Coturnix japonica: one gene and its partners. The protein of the gene in region 3 binds, or shares a complex with, the protein of the main gene of each other region. Links are inferred from orthologs where the notes say so. Each region holds a gene or a part of one and is shown on either strand. Other genes may lie near its edges.

Region 1 (5,200 bases), on a different chromosome or scaffold from region 3:
CACAGGAATTACAGGCCTGCAGGGTTTATTGGAAGTAATACATCAAACTATTGTCTGTGTTTAACACCTCTCAGGCAGCAGGTAACCACTTAGGGGGTTTGGGTGTCCCAGAGCACAGTGTGGAGAGGAATGTCACCAATGAATTGACTGAGGCTTCCCTCCTGCTTGCTCCTTCTATCTTCAAAAGATTCTGTATCTAAAAAAAGCCAATTGGGCAAGGATTTCAGGGAATGGATTTTGTAAGCTATTACTTGCCTCAAGATCAGTCTGTTTGCCCTCAAGGTAAAGGAACGCCTTGCTGGAATATTGATGTAACAGATGCACAAAATCATGGGCTCAAGTGAAAGGCACAAGTGATGCTTATTGAGAAAAATTCCTTATACTAATTTTTCCTAAAACAGTCTCAACACAGTTAGATGTGAATGCATATGAATTTGGCCATGCACACATCGATGACTAATTGACAGAACTACCACGTGGCTGGAAGCATTAAGCACCAGAATGATGCTAGCATCTGAGTGACAATTCCCTTTGGAACTTCTAAAATATTTCATCTCTGTAGCTGTATACAATACATACTCTTTTGTTAGGTTTCTAAGCAGCCTCTTTTATGGTGCTGTTGACTGTTACTTGGTGGGGAGGTATAGTGGAGGGCACGTTCAGTAGTTAACTGTGCAGAATTGTCAGTCAAATGTGTGGGAAAATGAAAAGGGTGGACTTTGGTCTAGTTCTGTTCCTCCTCAAGTCAGTGAAGAGATTTGCTGAAAGCAGTTACAGCAATAGCAGTGGGGCACTGAAGCATCTGCCTTCTGTGGTTTAAGCGACCAATCAGATAAAAGGCTCATGCAGAGGCACACGACAGAGACAAACGCTGAACTTAAAGACAGAGCAAGAATTTATTGTATGGCCTTAACCAGCTTGGCCTTAAGCCTGTGTGTTTAAAAAATAATAGTAATAATAAGCAAAAGTACTTTGAAAAACTAGACAGGACATCAGAGCTGACCTCTATCACAGGAGCCAGCCATCTCAGGTTAAGTATATGGAATCCTTTCAGTGCTGAAGTGCTCCTTCTCATTAGCCTGGCCAACAGCAAGTATAGTCTGAATCATGTCTCTTCTACCTCAATCAGAAGCAAGAGTCTGTTCCCAATCACTCTGAGTCCTGCAGTAAAAGAAATAAAAGAAACGGGTGTGCATGGATGGCTGTGCAGGTGAATAAGGATGCATGTGAAGTGTGCTGATGTAACCAACTTTATTACCTGGCAATAGCATGAACATGATGAGGCTATACAATTAAAGTGAGCTATCGGTTGGCTCACCAGTAAGAACAAGGTGCTGACAGGGAGCACGGTGAGAGGCCTTGAGGTCTGCTCCAGGTTTCGGCAGCCTGCTTGGAACCAGAGAGCAAAGCCAAGGACACGTGGAGCAGTGGTGGCAGCCTGGGCTCGTTCTGCTTTTAACTGATGGCAGTATGGATGAATAAAGCTTTTCCCCAGGGCATATACTAACTGCACACAACAAATACTCATTGATGTCAGCTAACCGATGCCACCAGCTTGTGAAAACACAACAATTATGAGCTGATTTAGAAATATCCTCGCGGTAATTTCATTTCGCTCATTCCGCCTAAAGGACAGCACGGTATTTGCATGAAGCGTGGGTGGCTTTTTGCCCGAACTGTTAATGGAGTGATTAAGCGGGGAAGGGAAAGCAGCGCCTCCAGCTGACACCGCAGCCCCGGGTGCCTTCCGCACCAGCTCCCGAGCTGCAGCACATCATCTGCTTTAAAGAAGCTTCTCTCTAAAGCAACTCATCTGCAAATGACAGTAGTGCTAAGTCACCTTGCTTCCCTACTTTCCACAGCGGTTATTATTTTATTTTATTTTTCCGTAGAAACCTCGATGCCCGCCTCCCTCAGCCAGAAGCTCTGGCGGTATCCCGAGGGCTGCTTAGCACAGCGTGCTCCCTGCAAACGTACGCGTGCCTCCAGCTGGCACAGGGCTATCCAGCGGCACGGCTGTTAGATGCTCACACAGTGCAGAAACACCTCCCGGAGCTGCCACGTGCGTGCAGGTACCGAGTTGTCCCGGTGCTGCCCGGCCCGCTCTCAGCTCGCGGCGGTCCCGTGCCGCTTCCAGGCGGCCATCAGCCGCCGCACCGCCCCGAGGCCCGGCCCCGCTCGGGCTGCCCGGCTGCGCCCTTCCCCTGCCAAAGCTGCGCCTCTGGCCGCACCCGAGCTTTTTGCTGAGCGGGTCGCCCTACGCCAGGGCCCGAACCGACCCGCAGGAAGGTACGAGGGGCGGCGGGGCTGGAGGGCCGTCCCCCGGCGGGACAGGTGAGGGCGGAGGGGCGCAGCCGGCAGCGGAGGGCGGGCGGGAGGCAGGGCAGGAGCGGGAGAGCGGCACGGAGCTGCCTCAAATGCCTGGAATAATTCCGCTTCCGTTCAGAGCCGGGAGCGGCCTCCCACGGCTCCGGGGCCTCGCAGCCGTCTCCTCCATCCCCGATCGCCGGCCGGGCCCGCCATGGCATCGTCCCCCCAGAAGTCCCCTTCTTCCCCCAAATCTCCCACCCCGAAATCGCCCCCGTCCAGAAAAAAAGATGACTCGTTCCTGGGCAAGCTCGGCGGCACGCTGGCCAGGAGGAAAAAAGCCAAAGAAGGTAAGAAGCGCAGGTTCGCGCGTTTCCTGGGAGTTACCTCGGGACGGGGAGGAGGGTGGGAGGAGACACGGGGAGAGGAAAGGCTCGGGGGAGCGGAGGAAGGGGCTGACGGGCGGACGCGGGTGGGGTGGGCAGGCGAGCGGGGAAGGGAGGAGCGCCGCGTCGCCCTGGGGCGCAGCTCGAGCTGGCGACGCGGGGACGGGAGAGCTCCGACCGGGAGCCGCCGGGCTGATGCGGCCGTGGGGCCGAGACGGGCCGATCGGCCGGGAGGGAGCGGGCGGCGCCGAGATGGTCCCGCGGGCCGGGGAGGGCCGGGCGGGGCGGCCGCAGAGCCACGCGGAGGAGCGGGCCGTGTCCCCGCGGCGGCCCGGGGCTGTCCGGATGGCGGGCGGGGCGGAGCCCACCGCTCTGCGAGACTTGGTGTGCGTGCCCGCTGTAGCTCGCAGGGCGTTGTGTTGTGTGCGGCCCGCCGTCGGCACGGCGCTTTGGGAGGGCAGGGTCACGCACACAGCTTGCAACAGCGCTCTGATGGTTACAGTTTAACCTGCTCGTTCCTGTGCCCGGCTGGGAGCCCTCGGCTCGTTGCAGTGGAGCTCGAAGAACGCTGAGCCGACATTCGGGTTCTTTGTCCGTGTATTTGAATTAATACCCACCCGCTACTGAATCTGCCGATTTAGAATCCCGTGAGGCAGAGAACTGGGGTTTAACCTTACTCACCCAGCGTTTTTGCTGCTGCTGTTAATTTAAACTCGGTACCAAGTTAGCGGTCATTTCCAAACTGTTTTTTCAAGCTTGCAAGTCGTTTGCTTGCAAAGGAGGGGGGCGTTCTGCTCAGCAGACCGTGCTTCTGAGGTACACAGCTGGGTACTGACAGCAGCACAGCATTTCACACAGGCCCCTGTGCTGCAGATACTGCTTTGGGCAGTTCATTTACTCTGTGTGTGATGCTTTGAGTAACCTAAGATACAGTTACTTGAGATACCATGGATGATGTCAGTAGGGATTAGTCATACATTAAAACGTAATATTTAATTACAGTGCATTTTATGGAGCGTTTCATGAGATCTAAAATTTGGAGCAGAGATTTGCTTATGTTCTGTCATGTCGTGTCTTGGTTTTCATTTAAAGTTCTTCGTCTGCTGTCATCCAAAGATGAGAACACTGTCGTTCGGTGAAAGCACAAAGCAGCTCTAACTTTAGATAGCATAAAAATGTTTTTTAAGTGACAAAACCCACAAATGATTAACTGTATTCAGTAGTAATAGCTTTTTATCTTATGAAAAAATGCAGAATATTCAGTGATCTGTTTACAGCTGAACTATCATAGCCCAGAGTTCTGTAGTTTTTGGTGAGATTCTGTCCTTTTTGTTCCTGAAAACCATTCCAAGACTGAGCTGCCTCTTCTGTGCCTATAAGGAGCCCAGGGGTTGCTGGGCAGGAGCATAACGTGTTCACTGGTCTCTCTGTGTTCCTCAAAACCAAGAGCAAATCACACATTTTTGATAGCGGTTTGTATTGCATATTAAGCCTATCTCCATACCAATGCAAGGAGCGAACATAATGATCTCATTTTCTCTATATTGTGTTATGTTATCTTGTGAATTTTACATGGGGGGTTCAGGAAGGCCATGTGTGATTGTCCTCCTTAGATTTACCTGGCTTGACAATGAAGCTTTGTAGTAGCTTAATCCATAAATAAAGGCAACAAGGGAAGCCTTAAGCACAGGGTGATGGGAGCATTTGAGATACTTGATGTAAAATTTGTGTCTTTCTGGAATCTGTGACTTAAGTGCTTTGATGTGTGACTCTGACAGAGATCACACCTCCACCTGGCTGTGGGTGCTCACCAAAGTAACAGGGTTTCTTTGGTCCACAAGTGCCCTATGTAAGGTGAGATTTTTGGCTTGTTTTCTTTGGACCTGTTTCTGTGACTTGTCTTTGAATTGTACAGGAAAAAAAAAAGTGTTGAAGAATTTGTTGAGCAGTGAGGAACCAGGTGAGGCTTAACAAAAGCAAGTGTAGAGTCCTGCACCTGGGGAGGGACAACTGTGTGTGCCAGTGCAGGTTGGGGGCTGACCTGCTGGGGAGGAGCTCTGCAGAGAAGGACCTGGGTGTCCCGGTGTACAACAGGTTGGCCATGAGCCAGTGGTGTGCCCTCATGGCCTAATATCCATTGGTAACATGTACCACAAACAAAAATGGGCTTCTGCGTGCTCATTCCACCCTGGTGCCCTGCAGGCATGCACTGTGTTTCCTTTGAGGAAGAAATGTCATGATGAAAGCTGTATTGGCACCATTCTATCTCTGCTTTCTGTTTGTACCGCAGCACATCAGTGCTGGGCTTTCCTGCTGCATCAGGATAGCTGTTGCTTTCTTTCATGTCTGCCATAATGTGTTTCCAACCTCAGTGCATAGCAACTGACATGTGTGCATAATCTTCTTTCCCTGCTGCTTCTGCCTACCATGTTCCCATGTCCCCAGTGTACCAGCAGGGCCAGCTGCGCAGCTGGTGCTGGGCACAGCCTGCCCCTCTGCCCCTGGAG
Region 2 (5,114 bases), on a different chromosome or scaffold from region 3:
TGCCCAGGGAGGTGGGGGAGTCACCGACCCTGGGGGTGTTCAAGGAACGACTGGATGTTGTGTTGAAGGACATGGTTTAGTGGGAGCTATTGGTAATAGGTGAATGGTTGGACTGGATGATCTTTTAGGTCTTTTCCAACCTTGGTGATTCTATGAGTCTATGAAAGTTATCTTCAGTTAGTTCTGTAGTTCCTGTCTTTGTGAAACCATTTGTGAAAATCACAGTCATGGGATCGTTTGTGTTGGAAGAGACCTTTAGGATCAGCAAGTCCAACTATGTGTGCTAAATCACAGCTCACGTTATTCAAACGAGAACAAAATCAGCCTTTGCTAAAAATGGCCCCTGTCCTATAGCCACTTACACAGATAACTTTGCTGAAGAACTTCACACCTCTGTCACTGTATTTACCATGTCAGATCTTTAGACTTCAAAATCTATATTGTTACTGAGTTTATAAAAAACCTTGTGAGACTTTTGGCAAAAGTATCAGCTTCCTAAACAACTTGTGGACAATTCCAGGCATTTTATAAATGGACATAACTTCAGAATAGGGTAGATACCAAACTATTGATTAGCTTTTTACTAACAGCAGTTTGCTCCCTCCCCAGGCCGACACACATCTTCTGCTGGGATATACAGAGAACACCGGTTCACTCATGGAAATTAATTTCTTAAGGAGATTGTGGCAGTAATTGATTATAATCTGGATTGTTAATGGCAGTTCTATCAAACTCTGGAAACTCTTAGAGGGTTTCCCAGTGAATGTTGAAAAAGGACTAATTCCATTAGAAAAGAACCACAAATGTTGTAATGGCTGAGGAGCCATCCTAGTTAAAAGACAAAGCAGAAAACAAAACAAAAAAGTGCAAAGACGTAGATGACATGATATGAAACTCAAGATACTCAACATTCTGAAATGACCTCATAACATACAAAAGAGCGATGTCTGTGAACTCCCACTGGCCAAGTCAATGAGATATAAGGCATGGCTTTAGAGCCTTCTCATCATGAAGAAAAACCTAGCTTAGGTACAGGTGATACACCTGCTAATGTGCCAAAGTATAACATGGCAAAAGGAGAAATATCTTTATTTGGATCAAACTAGGAAACTGCTGTGTCTGCAGGAAGACCAGAAAGTTCCTTTAATAAGGGAAGACAAAAGAGAGCAAAATTATGTGTCCCAGATCTTTTTCAATACTCCACACCAAGCTGATTTCATATTAGAAATCAAGAAATCATGCAATCTCTGTCCATAAAGCTTATTAAAAACTTATAAAAGGGCAGCTAAGAAAATAAATTCAGCTGCACTGCCTGGAGATAAAGCTACAAAATAAACTCTAAATATAACAACTCGTAAGACAATGTAAGTACAGTTAAACATGGCTTCAGCTGGTTGCCTGCAGAGATCAGGAAGGAGTTTATTTTTTCTAGGGGCTGGCTGTATCATGGGGCTCCGTGTGCATCCATCGTGGTTTTGACCTTCTGATGAGTCATTGTGGATTTGGTGCAGTTGGGATGGAGCAGATGTGGTTGCTGGCTCTTGCTGCTGGGTGGATGGTCAGACCAGCACCAGATTTTAGGCAAGAACATTGTGTTTTTGTACCTCAGCAGCCTGCAGCTCTGCTCATCTGGAAGCCATTGGTGGAGCAGAAGGGCAGATCTCACCCAGGCAACTCTCTGCTGCTACAAGGCCGGCCAAGTTCTGCAGAACATTCCTTTCCTATGTGGACAATGAGTTCTGTTACAGGCTGAACCTTGGTCTTGCCAAGATTATGACAGACCAACACACTGAATAGAAATCTGTACCTAGTTTTAATTAATTAAGTTTGTTAGCGGCTTTTTGCAGCTGATCTCGGTCACTCATCATACAGTTTATTGACACAAAGTTTGTTCCCCTGAGGAGACCTCTGGCCCCATGTTGGCCTGCCAAGGCTGTTGGCTATTCCACAGTGTTTGGCTATGATTGGTGGGAGGCCAGTTTTGGCAATGTAGCCTTTGGCCCTATGCTCCATAGGGAGGGCTTCGGTTAAACTGAGCAGTGTGTTGTAATCTTTACTTCATAAAGACAGATTTCACTAAGAGAAGAGTCATAGTTCTCTTTCAAGCAGCCAAAATGCTTTCAGATAGTTTTCTGATACAGATAAATACTGATCTTGGTATCAATTTTGGTGGTAATGCCAAACAAAACATATGGAATCACTGAATCTCTGCAGGAAGAAGAAAGTGTGAAGAACACCATGAAGGAGAGGAAGAAAAATCTGTAAGATTAATATATTTTTTAAAAGTAACAATAAGTAATGCTTGGCATGTCTTTAAATGTGCATCTACTTGTGCATAATTGTATTTACGTGTGAATAATAAGCATGAGTTTCTGTATAGAAAATGAAAGTCCAGCAGAGAATTCATGCCCACGAAGGCTGCTGAATGAAGCTGCTGGTACAAGGTTCAATTGATCTGGCCCAACTGACTCTTGCCAAAAATAGTCAAGGTCTAAAATTAGAGTAAATTATCAAACCAGTTCTTTTTTTTAAAAAAAACAGGAACAAAGTAACTCACTGTTGTCCTCCAACATCTTATGTGAGCAACCACAAGAAAAATACCACTGCAGAGCTATTAAAGCGAAGGTCTTTAAAGGAGAGAGCTGTTGTGGAGCCATGTTTCTGTCTTGGAAGGTAAGGAGTAATTTAAAACACTTTAAAATGGTTGCACGGCAAAAGCAAACTGGAACTACTAAACATTAAAAAAACAGCTTTGATAAAAGATCTGCTATTTGCAGTGCACAGTTCGAAAGACAAAATCTTTGTCTAATACGATTATGCCTTCGTGTCACAATACTGCCAGCAATATCTTTGCTTTTGTGTCTTTGCACGTCGCTGACAGCTTTGTAGATCACACCGTAGTTGTTAATACTGCATGTCTGTCTAGTAATAGCTGCATGGCTACAAACCTCTCCACTCTGAATGACACAGTACGGATAATCGATGTCCACGCTATCACCTCCTAGAGTCAGATGTTTGTTTTTACTTATGTGTCAATTTTCTGGACATTATTACATCTTCTTATATGAAAAGTATATTTTAGTGGACAGTTATATGTGAATGGTAAGGACTATATAGGAATGGTAAGACTAAGGTTTGAAAAATAAGCACTAAAAACATCCATTTCTGAGTTGCCCTTCCTATGTGGTGGGGTTACTCTTTATACACAATGAGAAACGATTGCATGCAGCGAGCGCCATCTCGTGATAAACGCGGATCTGCACCTCAGGGTTAAAACATCCCGTTTCTTAGAAAGGAAAAGCTGAAATTCCACCCAGACCAGTGCCAGGCCGACACTGCGGGCTGGGTGTGAGGAAAACGAGCTCAGAAAGAGCGGCGAGGTGATGGCACGGCCTGCATTGAGAGCTGCTGGGGACACCGGCCGTGAGGCGCTGTGGCACTGAGGGCTGTGGGCACAGCGGGGCTGTGTTGGGGGCTGGATTCGGTGATCTCAGAGGGCTTTTACGGCCTTGGTTTCTGTGGAACTACAAAACTCAAGGCTACGGCTGTCAGTGCGGTCCAGGCTTCGGGTCGTTTTACAGATGGAGTCGTTAATTGCTTTGATCTTGTCGATGCTGCAGTGACAGCAGGCAGGACACCCCAGCCTTGTTGCGCCACACCTTCAGCAGCTCAACCGTGACCCCGGGGGCTGAAGTGCCCGCTCTCAGCTACGGTTCGCGCTTATTGGCGGGCGAACCACTTCCTTCAGCTCTCCTTCCGAGCCGCCATTAGAACCGCCCCCAGCGTGGGGCGGGCTGCGCTTCACGGCGGGGCGGCAGCGCGTCTGCGCGAGGGGCGGGCTGGGCTGGGATCAGGGAGGGGCGGGTGGGCGCGTGGAGGAGCGGGGCTCCGCCCAGACACCACCGCCACCACCGCCTTAATACAGCCTCAATACAGCCTCAATATAGCCTTCATACAGCGCCGCTGCACCGCACCGTGAGTCGGGGTGGAGGTCCCGCGGTGGTGGGTCGGCGTTGCTGAGTGGGGACCGCCCTTGTGACGGTGTTTGTGTGTGTGTGTTTTTACGTGTCCCGTCCAGGCCATGTCCAAGTCGCTGAAGAAGATCGTGGAGGAGAGCAGGGAGAAGAACCAGCCCGAGGTGGACATGTGCGACCGAGGCATCTCCAACATGCTGGACGTGCCCGGCCTGTGTGCGTAGCGGGGCGACAAGGGAGGGAGCGCCGGCACCGCCTTATTTGGGCCGGGGATGAGGGCGGGAGTGGCCGCGGGAGGGAACGGTGTGTGTCCGGGCCTGCATTCTATGCCCGTTCTCTTCCTGCTCCTGGGGCACGTCGTGTTGTGCAGCCCGTTGTGTGATCCCTGTTCAGGAAGGAGCTCCCCTGCACTCCTCTGGATGAGTGGCTGGCTCACCTATGACCACAGACCCTTCTTTAGATCTGTGCTTACCCCTTTCATAGCCTCTGATGCGTTAAGGTGTGGGCTGAGAGCTGTTACTAAGTTCAGTAGGCACAGGGTATAATAATCAGCACTAAGGCACGTGGTCAGTTTTGCTTCTTCAGCTGGGAGGAAAGATAACATTGAAGTGCATCAGCTGGAAGTTCATGTCCTACCCTTAACCCTACCCTTAGTGGTGTGCTTAGCTGTGAGGGAGTGCTGAGGACTGCAGCGGCTCTAGGAGGAGTTTCACCATCTCTGGATGTATTCAAAGAAAGGATAGATGTGGCACTTAGGGATGTGATGGGCATGAACTTGTGGTGCTTTAGTTACATTGCATCAAAGTAAGCACTGCAGATGCAGACACCTGTGCACACTGCATCGTGTGCTTTAGTGTAGTGATTCGGGGCCTTCTGTAAGTTGAGGGCAGCCTTGTGGGAGATATAAAGGCTCACTGAGTTGGAGGATACTCTGCAGTTGTTTGGTAAGCTGCCTTCTGCAGCGTTGGTTGGTTTTCAAGAAGTGTGCCAGGCCGTGTCCAATTGCACGTGTGGGTACTCTCTGTGGGTGGCTGGTGAGCTTCCCTTTACACTGTTGTAACTGAATTCACATTATGGATGGAAGTGAACATTGGTTCAGGGCTGTGAGGCACTGGCATTGCTGCCCAGAGCTGTGGGTGC
Region 3 (5,097 bases):
AGTGACAAAAAAAGAGAGAAAGATGATCAGTTACTGTGCCTTTGTGGATTACCAGACCATCCCAGTAGAAACTATGTTTTGTTTTGGTAGCCTGAAGGCCCTTTTTAAACTCCTGGCAAGCTCCTTTCTTCCCTCCCGGGGAAGGAGTCAGGAGTAACTCAGTTGGCAGCAGTGCCAGCAGCCTGCAGAACAAGTCTGCTTTAGCCAGAAGGCACATCGGGGAGCACAGAAGACATGGGTGCTGCAGCAGGAGGAGGAGAAGCCTTTCCCTCCAGCACTGCTTCCCACAGTGCTGCACCAGCAATGTCATCATGACCTATAGCTATGACCCAAGCAGTGCTTCGTCTAGAGCTTGCCCCACAGCAGATAAATATAGGGCTTGAGCTCCAGCCTCCTCAACCTGTTACAACCTGCGGCTCCTGATGATCCTAAGATGGATAATCAGACCTGTGTGTGCATAAACACACAGGTCATGCTGCCTTGGCCCCACCTGCCATGATGTCTTGTGACACACGGGAGCAGCTTGCTTGGAAGCCACCAAGGGGAATTAAAGGGAAGAACCCTGACCAAACCCATTCCTGAAATCTGGCCTGTTTGCTTTTGCTTTCCAGAAGAAAATCTGTAGCACTGCATTGGCCAGGCCATGGGAAGACAGTGATGTGTGAGCCCAGGTTTGAGCTGAGAGCATCATGTCCTCTGCTGGGCACACACTCAGTTACCTCAGCCAGTGCTGAGACATGTGGTGCAGAGCTCAATCAATGCTCAAGAATGAGTTTAATTTGCTAGGTTTTTTAGATTTTTGAAGAGAGCATAACTGTAAAATAATCGCAACATTGGGACGGTTTTCTGTGGTGAAGGAATGATTCATTTTCACTCTTGCTTCTTTCTTCCTGGTCTTGCTTTCTCGCTTTCCTGATATCCACAGTGCATTACTTCAGTGTTCAAATCTATGGAGCATCCTCGTGTTCGGTGATTGTTCTAAATGCAGCACAGTACTGAAAATCACGCTCCGTTTCATTTCCTTCATCTATTATAGCATACTTGGCACTTCAGTTAACAGCCTGTGAGGCAAAACAGAAAACAAACTGGCCCTCTGTATCTATGCTTTCTGTGAAGTGCTGATGAGAAGGAAGGTGCCTATAGATAAATGCAGCATATATACCTTAGAAGGTATAAGTGGAGCATTAAAAGGCCATTTTTACAGTGTGATTAATATGCCCAAGCATTGAAACAATATTTACCTAATGACAGAAGCCTCTTCTTCATGCTGGTTAGCCCATGACAAAGCCTTGTTGGAATCCACATCCATCCCCTCAGCAGACATAAGCCTGCGGACAGGTTTGCTGAGGAACACCTTGGATCACATTGGTTGCTCACAAAACAGCTCTCCGGGTCCAAGAGGATTTCTCCATCAGCAGCCAGCAGCAAAGCCCCTTTCTAGCATCTGGGTGTGCATGACAGCCCAGTGCTGGAATGTGCTCCTCTGCAGCACAGCTTTTAACTTGAAGCTCTGGCAGGGTGCTGGGTAGCTCTGGCTCAATGACACAGAGGCGCTGAAAGTTAGTCACTTGGTTTGAGAACAAGGGGAAGCCCGGCGCATTGTTCTGCTGCCTTTGCCTCCAGCTCCCTCGCGATATAAGCACAGAATATATATACCCGTGATAACAGCTAGAGGAACATGGACTTCCAGCGCAGAGGTTACCCCTATGCGATCCCGGAGAATGAAGAGATCGCTTACAGCGTCTCTCACAATGCCTACAACTCAACGGGAAATGAAGGCGAGAAACCAGTGTCGAAACTGCAGCGTAGGCACAGTGACGTTAAACTCTACAAAGAGTTTTGTGACTTCTACGCAAAATTGTAAGTCCGCGCTGCTCAGCTCTGGGCTGTAACCGCGGTGACATTATTGGCATATGGTCACTGTGTTTTTTACCGTCTGGGCTCTGTAAGCCATTCTCTAAGGCAGCCTTTACCACAGCTCTGTGTCTGATATGTTGCCAGTTGTAATCATCAACTAGAATTTGAGCTGGTGCTGTGAACTTAATCAGTGATTGCGTCAGACGTTTTTATCAGGGGTTGAAGCAGGGTTGGCATTTGCCAAGTCGTCTCTGACTTCAGATTGTTTGCTTGTTTTGGGCGAACGTGTAGGCTGTTTCACTAATGCAGGACTGTTGCATGCATCACTGTTTTTACATACGTGTTTTTACTTGGATTACGTTTTTTCTCCGACAGCACTTAGTATTAAGTAACTTGTAAGTTTAGCACCCTTAATACTCAGGAACTGGTGAGGTGATGGTGAGGCTCGTGGTTTATGTTGTGAATACTGCTTGTTCAGATTAACGCAGAGTACGGGTGAAGTGTCTGACGTTTTTCCCCCTTCAGAAAACATACGTAATCCATGTAGACCATTGGCTAACTGTATGCTTAGCTATACTTTATACAAATAATCAGTGCTGTTTTTCAGTATGCTGATACTCTTAAGTATGAAATAGACCCTTCCTCAGCCTGACCCCCTTTGTGAAATTTGGCCACTCGTTGTTTCACTGTGAGGACAGTGACCCTTTTTTGGTACTGGGGCCTTAATTAAGTGTAAGACATCTGTACTGACTGTTGTATGTGTGAACACAATCCTAGTGAAGCTGCTAATCCCCTTGATACTTTGCAGCTATCACACTCATTCTGTGGTCACATGCCTTTGTGAAGCAACCAAAATTGCTATTTATTTGAGCTTTTATTTTGCATCACCTGTTTGCATTGCCCTATGCCTGGGTCATGGTGGAGCACCCCAGCACTGCAGCCAGAGTATTTCTACCTTCTCCTTGTCCTTGGTCTGGTGCTGAGGAGCTGCAATCTGCTTTTATGGAGATGAACCCTAACAAACCAACCAAAGATCCTATGACTTTATTATTTCTACAAGTTGTGCATAGCTTGAAGTGATTTTACAGTTTTGTTTACCTGCTGTGGTTTTCAGCAACCTACCATGTATAATATTTTAAACTCTTCCACACTGCTTGTTTAGAGCTTTTGAATTAATGTTGTATTCTGTTGTATTCTCGTATTCTAGAATTGTGAATTATTTTAGAATTAGCCTTCGTATTTTCCAATGTGAGGTCCTTAATTATTGGGAATTATTAGTAATAGGTGAACGGTTGGACTGGATGATCTTTTAGGTCTTTTCCAACCTTGGTGGTTCTATGATTCTATGGTTCTCCTCATAAAGAGACAGCATCTGTAACAATGACCAATAGTTATTATAACGCATTGATTTTGTTTCCAAAGAGTTTGGAGCCAGAAGGAAACAGTTTTATTTCTAAGGGATCACCACAAGTCATTAAGTTCATGGAAAGGTTTTCACTGGACAGCTTAGCATTAGGCTGATGCCATTGGCTTTGGAAAAATATAGAGAACCAGAATCAGTTGTGCTGCCTTTGGAACTCATTTTCTTTCTGTTTCTTGTTTTCATGACAGCAACATGGCAAACGCACTCGCAAATGCCATCTGTGAGCGCTGTAGAGGGGGCTTTGCGCCAGCAGAGAAAATCGTCAACAGCAATGGCGAGCTGTACCACGAGCAGTGCTTCGTGTGTGCCCAGTGCTTCCAGCAGTTTCCGGAAGGGCTCTTCTACGAGGTAAGCTGGGAGAAGTAATTACAGGCTGATCGATACCTTAGCAACTGCTATGGAAGAAATGGAGTTCCAAAAGATTATGCCTTTTAGAGGGGAGAAGGAAGAAGAAATGTTTCCATGGCTGTTTGGAGCATATCAGTGCGTATAACCTTATTTAAGTGAGGAAAGAACTACTGGAGATTCCTCTCCCTCTGCAGATTTTTTTTCATACATATACATTTCATTTCATACTATATATTAATCACAGAATCACAGAATTGTAGGGGTTGGAAGGGACCTCTAGAGATCATCAAGTCCAACCCCCCTGCCAAAGCAGGTTCCCTACACCACGTCACACAGGTAGGCGTCCAGGTGGGTCTTGAGTATCTCCAGAGAAGGAGACTCCACCACCTCCCTGGGCAGCCTGTTCCAGTGCTCCGTCACCCTCACTGTAAAGAAAAATATTGTATCAGAAATACAGGGAAAGCATTCTTCTTAGAATAGAGTTGTCAAAGGGAAATCCCAGCATCCTGCAGTCTTTAGGAGGTTTATTGCTGAGTGAGTGAGTGAGGCCTGCACAGCTTCTGAAATATCACTTGACCTGTAAGCCATCATGCTGAGGTCAAGGTGCGTTGACAGCCAAAATCAGATGAGGCCTGAGTCAGGTAAACCCAGAGTTTAATATACTTTCAATGGAAAACCCCACTCACCTTTCTTTAACCCTAGGTGTAAGGAAGGGTAGAACATGGGAGACAGGCAGTTATTACCTGAGGTTTGTGGATGGCTAACTGAGGCTCTAACAGATTAAAGGCAAAGTGCACACAATTATCAAATGTTCAGTTGCTTCTGAAAATTCTGTTCTAACCCACTTTCACATGCAGTGCCCATCATTGTGTCAAGAGCACAACATTTAATCTTCCACAGGGGTATTCTTAATTATACAGAGTCATGCTGTATGGTTAGAAGGAGACGGGGAGAGGAGTATTAATTGGAAAAAGAGGCTGGCAAAGGGGATTCCTGGGCTTACTTTCTCTCACCTTTCTTGAGGATCAAAAGGTTTTTCAGTGCTGTAGAGATAGTGTAGCACAATTTGTGGCAAATGAGCCAGCAGTGCTCCATGACACATCAAAAGGTGGGCTGCAAAAGAGTAGCAATTAAGAAAAGACAAAACAACACACCCCTTGGATATTTACACATTGCATTATTATTGTTAATATCATGAGTTGCTCCCTGTTTGCAGGCACAGTAAAGAGTCTGCCCTGACGTGTTAAGACCTGAGTCAAATGTGAGGTGATACATACATCTTAAAAGTAGAACATTTGTTGATAAATCTGTCATGAAACAATAAAATGTATTTTTCTCTAAATAATGAGCGCTTTATTCATCATTTTTCTGACTCTCAAATAACAGTGGGAGAATCCATGGACCTCTTTCAGGAAGTGGAGTGGTCTTTTGTGATATGAGACAGTCTATGTCTCCTAGAGAATAGAAGA

The links. Proteins that work in one complex are often made in the same cells at the same time.
Region 1: LIMS1 (region 3) and PARVA share a complex: the UniProt entries of both Homo sapiens proteins name them as parts of the heterotrimeric IPP (ILK-PINCH-PARVIN) complex. The link is inferred for Coturnix japonica from reciprocal best matches to the Homo sapiens genes LIMS1 and PARVA.
Region 2: the proteins of LIMS1 (region 3) and RSU1 are in contact, whole or in part, in a crystal structure (PDB 7LT9), measured with the Homo sapiens proteins. The link is inferred for Coturnix japonica from reciprocal best matches to the Homo sapiens genes LIMS1 and RSU1. Residues at the interface, in NP_001180417.1 of Homo sapiens: Cys252, Phe253, His254, Cys255, Asn256, Leu267, Asn268, Lys269, Ser279, Thr280, Cys281, Asn282, Thr283, Glu293, Phe294, Asp295, Met296, Lys297, Cys303, Lys306, Phe307, Pro308, Glu310, Leu311, Arg314, Leu315, Lys317, Leu318, Ala319; in NP_036557.1 of Homo sapiens: Asp21, Ser23, Asp24, Gln44, Val46, Ser48, His49, Val67, Asn69, Phe71, Asn72, His90, Asn92, Met95, Glu112, Asp115, Thr117, Tyr118, Arg137, Ala138, Tyr140, Ser142, Asp143, Ile161, Ser163, Arg165, Asp166, Glu184, His186, Gln188.

What each region holds. Positions count from the first base shown.
Region 1 is NC_029520.1:12,290,943-12,296,142, reverse strand, and holds the start of PARVA (alpha-parvin), read left to right. Parts: upstream 1-2,172; 5' UTR 2,173-2,289; intron 2,290-2,315; exon of another isoform or gene 2,316-2,334; intron 2,335-2,446; 5' UTR 2,447-2,521; coding exon 2,522-2,657; intron 2,658-2,694; exon of another isoform or gene 2,695-2,901; intron 2,902-5,200. UniProt on the Homo sapiens protein: Plays a role in sarcomere organization and in smooth muscle cell contraction. Required for normal development of the embryonic cardiovascular system, and for normal septation of the heart outflow tract.
Region 2 is NC_029517.1:18,199,912-18,205,025, forward strand, and holds the start of RSU1 (ras suppressor protein 1), read left to right. Parts: upstream 1-2,086; 5' UTR 2,087-2,261; intron 2,262-2,541; 5' UTR 2,542-2,655; coding exon 2,656-2,673; intron 2,674-3,838; exon of another isoform or gene 3,839-3,975; intron 3,976-4,078; coding exon 4,079-4,190; intron 4,191-5,114. UniProt on the Homo sapiens protein: Potentially plays a role in the Ras signal transduction pathway. Capable of suppressing v-Ras transformation in vitro.
Region 3 is NC_029516.1:122,924,788-122,929,884, forward strand, and holds the start of LIMS1 (LIM and senescent cell antigen-like-containing domain protein 1), read left to right. Parts: upstream 1-1,583; 5' UTR 1,584-1,678; coding exon 1,679-1,860; intron 1,861-3,468; coding exon 3,469-3,628; intron 3,629-5,097. UniProt on the Homo sapiens protein: Within the IPP (ILK-PINCH-PARVIN) complex, binds to F-actin, promoting F-actin bundling, a process required to generate force for actin cytoskeleton reorganization and subsequent dynamic cell adhesion events such as cell spreading and migration.